Linked DNA regions of Sus scrofa. The protein of the gene in region 1 purifies or fractionates together with the protein of each later gene. This does not show direct contact. Links are inferred from orthologs where the notes say so. Each region holds a gene or a part of one and is shown on either strand. Other genes may lie near its edges.

What was found.
Region 2: the proteins of ACTB (region 1) and BCL7C purify together in Homo sapiens (affinity purification with mass spectrometry; 3 studies listed by BioGRID and IntAct, with this or other methods). This does not show direct contact. The link is inferred for Sus scrofa from reciprocal best matches to the Homo sapiens genes ACTB and BCL7C.

Annotation. Positions count from the first base shown.
Region 1 is NC_010445.4:4,087,583-4,091,582, forward strand, and holds the start of ACTB (actin, cytoplasmic 1), read right to left. Parts: upstream 2,802-4,000; 5' UTR 2,677-2,801; intron 1,964-2,676; 5' UTR 1,958-1,963; coding exon 1,835-1,957; intron 1,703-1,834; coding exon 1,463-1,702; intron 1,016-1,462; coding exon 577-1,015; intron 479-576; coding exon 297-478; intron 167-296; coding exon 23-166; 3' UTR 16-22; exon of another isoform or gene 1-15. UniProt on the Homo sapiens protein: Actin is a highly conserved protein that polymerizes to produce filaments that form cross-linked networks in the cytoplasm of cells.
Region 2 is NC_010445.4:17,546,191-17,550,346, forward strand, and holds the start of BCL7C (B-cell CLL/lymphoma 7 protein family member C), read left to right. Parts: upstream 1-1,355; 5' UTR 1,356-1,545; coding exon 1,546-1,637; intron 1,638-2,208; coding exon 2,209-2,287; intron 2,288-2,625; coding exon 2,626-2,734; intron 2,735-2,833; coding exon 2,834-2,995; intron 2,996-4,156. UniProt on the Homo sapiens protein: May play an anti-apoptotic role.

The sequences.
Region 1 (4,000 bases):
TGGAATGCAACTAACAGTCCGCCTAGAAGCATTTGCGGTGGACGATGGAGGGGCCGGACTCGTCGTACTCCTGCTTGCTGATCCACATCTGCTGGAAGGTGGACAGCGAGGCCAGGATGGAGCCGCCGATCCACACGGAGTACTTGCGCTCTGGAGGCGCGATGATCTGGAAGGAGAAGGGGACAGTGAGGCGGGTGGCGGTCAGAGCCCTGGTCCCCAGAGCACCCGCTCCGCGGCGGCTGCCGTGGCACCCACGCCGCCCGGCCGCACCCGGCCAGCTCAGGCTGGGCACTCACCTTGATCTTCATCGTGCTGGGCGCCAGGGCCGTGATCTCCTTCTGCATCCTGTCGGCGATGCCTGGGTACATGGTGGTGCCACCCGACAGCACCGTGTTGGCGTAGAGGTCCTTGCGGATGTCGACGTCGCACTTCATGATGGAGTTGAAGGTAGTTTCGTGGATGCCGCAGGATTCCATGCCTGAGGGGGGAGAGAAGCCCGACTGAGCTTCCGCTGTGGCCACCACCGGGTGAGCCAGGGGGGGCGGGGGGAAGGCAGGGCCAGGGCTGCGTCCTCACCCAGGAAGGAGGGCTGGAAGAGCGCCTCGGGGCAGCGGAAGCGCTCGTTGCCGATGGTGATGACCTGGCCGTCGGGCAGCTCGTAGCTCTTCTCCAGGGAGGAGGAGGACGCGGCAGTGGCCATCTCCTGCTCGAAGTCCAGGGCGACGTAGCACAGCTTCTCCTTGATGTCCCGCACGATCTCCCGCTCGGCCGTGGTGGTGAAGCTGTAGCCCCGCTCCGTCAGGATCTTCATGAGGTAGTCGGTCAGGTCCCGGCCAGCCAGGTCCAGACGCAGGATGGCGTGGGGCAGGGCGTACCCCTCGTAGATGGGCACCGTGTGGGTGACCCCGTCTCCGGAGTCCATCACGATGCCAGTGGTGCGGCCAGAGGCGTACAGGGACAGCACGGCCTGGATGGCCACGTACATGGCTGGGGTGTTGAAGGTCTCGAACATGATCTGGAGGGAGGGAGGGACGCTGTCACCCTCGGGAAGCCGCCGGGGGCAGTCAGGCCGGACTGGGGACATGCAGAGAGTGCAAGGAACACGGCTAAGTGTGCTGGGGACCCCAGGTCGGGGAGTCACGTCAGACCTACTGTGCACCTACGGGATACACACTCCGAGGCCCCTTTACGGCAGCCTCGTCGGCTTTGTCACACGAGCCAGTGTTAGTACCTATACACCCACAGCACCTTATGCTTTTAACACCTAGTCAGAAAGGCAAACACGAGAAAGACTCCAGCTGGGGAAAAGCAAATAGAACCTGCAGAGTTCCAAAGGAGACTCAGGTCAGAGAAGAAAAGTCCTAGGAAAATGGCAGAAGAAAGAACAAGTGAGAAAGGGCGTGGCAAAGAGGGGCAAGAGAGGAGGGGGCGGCCGCCCGAGAGAGCCCAGTGGGCCACTGACCTGGGTCATCTTCTCACGGTTGGCTTTGGGGTTCAGGGGGGCCTCGGTCAGCAGCACGGGGTGCTCCTCGGGGGCCACACGCAGCTCGTTGTAGAAGGTGTGGTGCCAGATCTTCTCCATGTCGTCCCAGTTGGTGACGATGCCGTGCTCGATGGGGTACTTGAGGGTCAGGATGCCTCTCTTGCTCTGGGCCTCGTCCCCCACGTAGGAGTCCTTCTGGCCCATGCCCACCATCACGCCCTGCGGAAGGAGGGGCGAGGCGCCTTCAGCCCGGGCCCGGCCCCACCGGCCCCCACGCAGAAAGCCTCCCCCTTCCCTCCACCTGCTACCAAGACCCCACCCACCAAGTCAGACCCGAGGGCGGCGCCCTACCTGGTGTCGGGGGCGCCCCACGATGGAGGGGAAGACGGCCCGGGGAGCATCGTCGCCCGCAAAGCCGGCCTTGCACATGCCGGAGCCGTTGTCGACCACGAGCGCAGCAATATCGTCATCCATGGCGAACTGCAGGGGCAGCAGGACCGTGAGCCGGAGGCCGGGTGCGGCCGCCTCCGCCCTACTCACTTCCGGCGCGACGCGCGTTCGAGCCGCCAGGGGGCGCCGGCACGCGCCCAGATTGGGGACAAAGGAAGCCGGCCGGCCGCGTTATTACCATAAAAGGCAAACGCTGGTCGGAGGCGGCCCCGAGGCGCGCGGCAGGAAGCCAGGCCTCCGCCCCCTCCCCACTGGGCGCCAGCCCCGCCCCGCCCAAAAAGCGCCACTCGGCGGGCGCGCGGCGACCACACCCGGGGCGGCCCGTGGCTCCGCGAGGAAGTGCGCGCAGGCGCTCTCGCGCCGCGGCGACCCCACCCCTTCCGGCCGCCCGCCCCGCCCTCGCCTCCTGGGCCTACGGCGCACACGCACGCGCACTGGCGTCCCAGCCCCCACCCGGCTCGGCCACCGCGCCGCGCCCACCCACCCGCCCCGCCGCCCGGCTGCACTGCTCTCCCGCCGGCGGAGCGATCGGCCCGCTCGGACAAAGAATCGCCGCCGCTAGGGCTCCCAAAGAAACACTCTGGGAGCGCTCCCCGAGCGCAGCCCGGGCCCCGAACGAGGAGCGCATGAGTCCATTCCCGGCACCCGGCCGGCTGTCCACGGGGCCGGGGCGGAGGGGGCCACCTGCCCACAAGAGGCACGGGCCCAGCGCATCAGCGGCCCGGCCGGTGCGGGGACCCTACCTGGTAGCGGTGTAGACCGGCGGCGAAGGCGGAGCGGCAAGGGCGAGGGGCCTGTGCTGGCGGAGTGGACGCGGTCTCGGCTGTGGCTGTGCGTCGCGCCGCCGGGTTTTATGGGGCGCAGTCGCGGCGGCTCGAGCCATAAAAGGCAACTTTCGAAACGGCGAGCGCTGATTGGCCCCGCGCCGCTCACTCACCGGCCTCGCCGCACAGTGCAGCATTTTTTTACCCCCTCTCCCCTCCTTTTGCAAAAAAAAAAAAAAAGAAAAAAAAAAAAAAAGAAAGAGGGAGGGAGATGGACTGGCTAGGAGAGAGCGAGAGCGAGATTGAGGAAGAGGAGGGAGAGAGTTTTGGCGTCGGCCGCCCTTGGGTGCTGGGCCCCAACAGTGGGCCGCCGCCCGCCTGAGCAGTGTCGGGTCCGGCCCCGCTTGGCCAGGCCTGCACCCGGCCTGCTGGTCTCCGGGTCTCCCCACCCCGGCACCCTCCGAATGTGGATGCCCCAAAGCAGTGAGCGCCCCTGTGGGCAAGGGTCAGCACGGATGCGAGAGTCCCTGGTTGCTGTGGGTGCATGCTTAAGGAGCAGGTGGGGGAAAGGAGTGATGAGAGAGTCACCCTCCCCTTGGCGACATTAGCTCTGCTGCCCAGAAAGCCTGGGTAAGGGGGGGCCCCGACTGGGGGTGCTGAGCTTGCTAAGTGGGGGTGCTGAGCTTGCTAAGGGGGCACATTACTTAGAGACCGTGGGCTTGAGGGCTATGGTGGGGCATGCTTGAGTCAGGGGACTTGGAGACACGTAGCAGGGGCTTCAGGACTGCAGTCTCTAGGGACAGGACAGGCCCCAGGGGCTGGGGGCTGGAAGTTCCCCGTGAAGAGGGCTCCAGGCCTCCCTTGCTGCAGGCCCAGGAGAGGTGGGCTCCGTAGAGCAGAGAAGCTGTTCCCATGGAGCTGGGCTGCGGCTGAGGCTGCCTGGTCACACCCAGCCAAGGCCAAGCCTGGGCCATTAGCTGGCGACCCAGGCAGCTGCCAAGCACTGCTGGCTGCAGGCAGGCAGGGCCACTGAGCACAGCTCTGGGACCCACCATCCATCGTCTGTCTGTCACGTGCAGCCACAGCTGAACTGCCCTCCTAGACCATCTGGAGGCCACCAAGGACTGGGGAAGGACATTCAATGTGCCAGAGAGGAGTTAGGGGGAGGGGGGTGGGGCAGCAGGGACCAGCTGGGGCCCACTCCTGCCCTGGTCTCTCCACCAAACACGGGGTCAGACCTGGGTGCCCCCGGGTGTTCCCAGTGGTTCCCTGCTCTGGGAACTGCCTGTCCAGCAGGGAGAGC
Region 2 (4,156 bases), about 13 Mb from region 1:
TGCTGTTCTAAGAGTTACATGTATATTAACTCATTCCCATGTTACAGCTGAGAAAATAGTGATAAGTGACTTGTTTGAGGTCACTGGACAAGCAGAGCTGGGATTTTACCCCAGCGATTTGGCCCAGAAATGATGTCATAACCACCTCTGAACATAGTCACACCAAAACACACAGACCCGAGAGCCACACCCTTGACACATTCACACACAGCAACACAAATTTAGAATGTCATACCTGCTGGCAAACACAGCCTCAAACAAAATCAACCAAGACACATGTATTTTAAGTAAGCTTTTCATTGACGTGCTATAGACACAGGGTAAAGTACACACATCCTATATGTACAGCTCCGCGAATTTTCCAAGAGTAAATATGCCGTGGGAACCAGCACCAGATTAAGAAACGGAATCTGACCAGTTCCCAGAGGCCCCTCTTAGCCCCTCCCAGTCCCCAGGGTGACCACTCTCCCCGGTGTTTCGCACCATTTATTGGTTTTGTCCAGAACTTTCTCTGAATGGGATCACAGGGCGTATTGCTTCTCTGACCTCTTTCACGAGACGTCCCCATGTTGTGTGTAGCAGGACATCACTCTCCTTGCCCTGTCGTCCATGGTGTGAACAGGCTACAATTTATTTTCCATGGCCCTGTGGATGGGTTGTTTCTAGCCTGAGGCGCTTAGGAACAGAGCTATGGACATTCCAGTACAGGTCCCTTGGGGCTCCTACCCACGCATTTCTGATGGGTGTTAACCATCCAGGAGCGGAACTGCTGGGTCACAGGGTTGGTGTACGTTCGGTTTCACTAGAAAAGCGCCAGCTTTCCAAAGTGTCTCTATCAATTTACACTCCCCCAGAAATATGAGAGGTCCAGTTGCTCTACTTCGCCTCCACTTGGCAAGGTCTCATCTGAGCCATTCTGGAGGGTGGAAGAGGCACTCAGTACATTTACAGTGTCTGGCACGTAACTGGCCCTCAGTTAATAGCCTGTAGAATGAATGGATGAAGAGATAGTTGCAGCGTAGAACCAGGCAGCCGAGCAAGGGACACACACACACGCAAACACACACACACAAACACACACACCGTTCCAGGGTCCACCCACGCGCAGCGGTCGCACCCGGGACACAGATCCTCTCGCGCCCCCTGGCGCCCACGTGGTCTGAACGCACGGCCGCAGCCCCGCCGCGCGCGTCCAGTCGCCGAGCTGCCCCAACCTCCCTCTCGGCCGCGGGCAGGGGGCGCTGCGCGTCCGGGCGCCTCGAGGCGGAGGCGGCGGGCCCGGTCGGGGCGGGGCCGGCCGGCTTCCAGGCCTGGGCTCTGGCCGCCCGCGCCGCCGGGCGGCTCCGGGGACGGGCCGGGGCGGGGCGCGGCGGCAGGAAGCGGGGCGGGGACTCGCGGAGGCGTTGGGGAGCGAGGGAGGGCGCGGCCAACTCCCGGAGGGGCGACAGGCCGAGAGAGCGGCGCCCCGGCCTGGCGCCGAGCCTGAGCCCGCCGGACGGGAGGCGGCCCAGCCGCGGGCTCGGCCTCGGCCCCAGCCCCGCCAGCATGGCCGGCCGGACCGTGCGGGCCGAGACCCGGAGCCGGGCCAAGGATGACATCAAGAAGGTGATGGCGACCATCGAGAAGGTCCGGAGATGGTGAGCGCTGCCCCGGGGGCCAGGGACGGGCCACGGCGGGCCATTCCTCCCCCGACACGTCCACACCCCCTCCGCCACCTGTGGCCCCCAGGTGTTAGGTGTGCCCCTCTCCCCCGCCGCCCCCAGCTGCGTCCTGGATCTGCAGGGCTCTATCTCTCTTCTCCTGGCTACACCCTGGGGTCTACAAAGCGTGTTCCCCAGCCCTGCCCTCCCAGAGCTGGAACCCCCCCTTTATGCCCCGCCCCCTAAAGCTTTGACACTCCTCCCGCAAGTGTGCCCCGGGATCTTCGAGGCTGTGGTCCCAGGCCTATAGTCGCGCTCTCCATGTATACCCCAGGGGTCTGCCGCGTCGTGACCCCAGCCTATTTTTTTTTCTCTCCCTCTCTCTCTTTCTCCCGCCCCCCACCTATGCCCTGAGGTCTGCCGGGCTTCTCCCTCCAAGTCCCATTAGCCACGCTGCCGCTTCTTTTGCGCACCACCCCCACCTCCACACGTATCCCCAGATACATCCAGCTCCTGGGCTGGCTCTCTCCTCAGGCCTCTCTGACCCCGTCCCTCCACCGTCCCACAGGGAGAAGCGCTGGGTGACTGTGGGTGACACTTCCCTGCGTATCTTCAAGTGGGTGCCAGTGGTGGACCCCCAGGAAGAGGTGAGCAAGCTCCCCCACACCAGGCCCTGCATCTGGGCCACCTCGGGCAAGCCCCTCCCGGCGGCTGGCCTCCACCTCCAGTCCCCACTTAGACCTTACATGCAGCCTCGGGAACAGATGTTAACAATTATTAGCAACTCCGCCTCTTTCCCCTCCCCCGCCACCAGACCCCCTGAGTTCACGGCCTAACGCCGCCGCCGCCGCCGCCGTGGCGCACAACCTGTCGCTCACGGAGGGCCTTCTGCTTCTCTGTGCCTCAATGTCGTTATTTGTTCAGTGGGGGCTTTGCAAGCACTAACTAGAAAGCTGACTGTAACCCTTCGTCCTCTAACCCCCAGGAGCGTCGGAGGGCAGGTGGCGGCGCAGAGCGATCCCGAGGCCGCGAGCGGAGGGGCAGGGGCGCCAGTCCCCGAGGGGGGGGCCCTCTCATCCTGCTCGATCTCAACGGTATGTCGGGGATGCTGGCTGGGCTTTGGGGCAGCGGTGGGGAATGAAGGAGGGGATTGGGCGCCTCAGACCCAACCCTTTCTGCTCTTGCTCCCACAGATGAGAACAGTAACCAGAGCTTCCATTCAGAAGGCTCCCTGCAAAAGGGCACGGAGCCCAGCCCTGGGGGCACCCCCCAGCCCAGCCGCCCTGTGTCACCTGCTGGACCACCGGAAGGGGTCCCTGAGGATGCTCAGCCCCCACAGCTGGGCCAGGAGAGAGGTAGGACCAGGTGCCTCCCAGGAACCTTCTCCTCTGTGTCTTGTCCTCTCCAAGGTTGCAGCCCCCCACTTGTCCTCTGTCTGGTCCCCCTCCTGTGTCGAGTCTTCTGGAGACCATCCCTGAGTCCTGTGGAAAGTGACTGCCTTTCCTCTAGGGCCTTTGGCCTTCCTCTGGCTTCTTTGGGTCTGTAGATAACTTATCACAGATTTTCATGTAAATTTAGCTTTTGAGTAGTTAAATATCTTTCTTCCCCATTCCCACCTCCTGTCCGCTTCCTGAAGGTTGGGCCCATCTTGATCCTGTTCTCGGCTGTATCCTCGGAACACTGCGGACCACCTAGCAGGTGCTCAAGAAATATTTGTTGAGGAATAGGTAATAATCAAAAGACTGATTAACAGTCGGTGATAGTTACAGCTAATACTTACTGAGCTCTTTCTGCGTGCCCGACACCCCGCTAAGCTCTTTCCATGTTTTATCTCATTTCATCCCCACTGCAGCCCTATGAGGGCTACGATCTCCATTGAGAGATGATATACCCGAAACCCAGAGAAGCTGCCCAAGTTCACCCAGCCAGCGAGCCAGGATCTTGGGCCTGAGTCTTCATCAGCTCCTCTTTCTTCCCGTAAAGTCAGTCCCCTGTCTGATCAGATCCATCTCTCAATGTGTCTGTCTGCCTTCCTCTGCCTGCCCAGGCCCTGTCGTCTCTCTAACCCACACCCGGCTCCGGCCTCCTCATGGGTCTGTTCCCCTCCAGCTGCACCCACACAGCTACCAGAGCATGCGTTTGATGGGGTCATTTTCCAGCTTCAGAACCTTCGATGGCTCCCTCTGACCTTTGACCCCTCAGCTTGGCACTCTGGGCCCTTCCCGAACCGTCCCCTGCTGACCTCACTGTTCCTTTCCAAGAACACCAGGACTTAGGCCTCCGTTCTGTGTCTGGATCGTAGCACACGCTCGTGTACCTTTACTGATATAAAAAACCATAATTGGCATTTCTCGAGCACTCACCGCATTAAAACCGTGTTAACGGTTTTGCCTGTGTTACCTCCTTTGATTCATACACCATCTGATGTGGTAATTACTATAATTATCCCCACTTGACAGATGGGAAAACAGGGTTAGAGAAATTAAGTCACTTGCTCGAGGTCAAGATTCGAACTC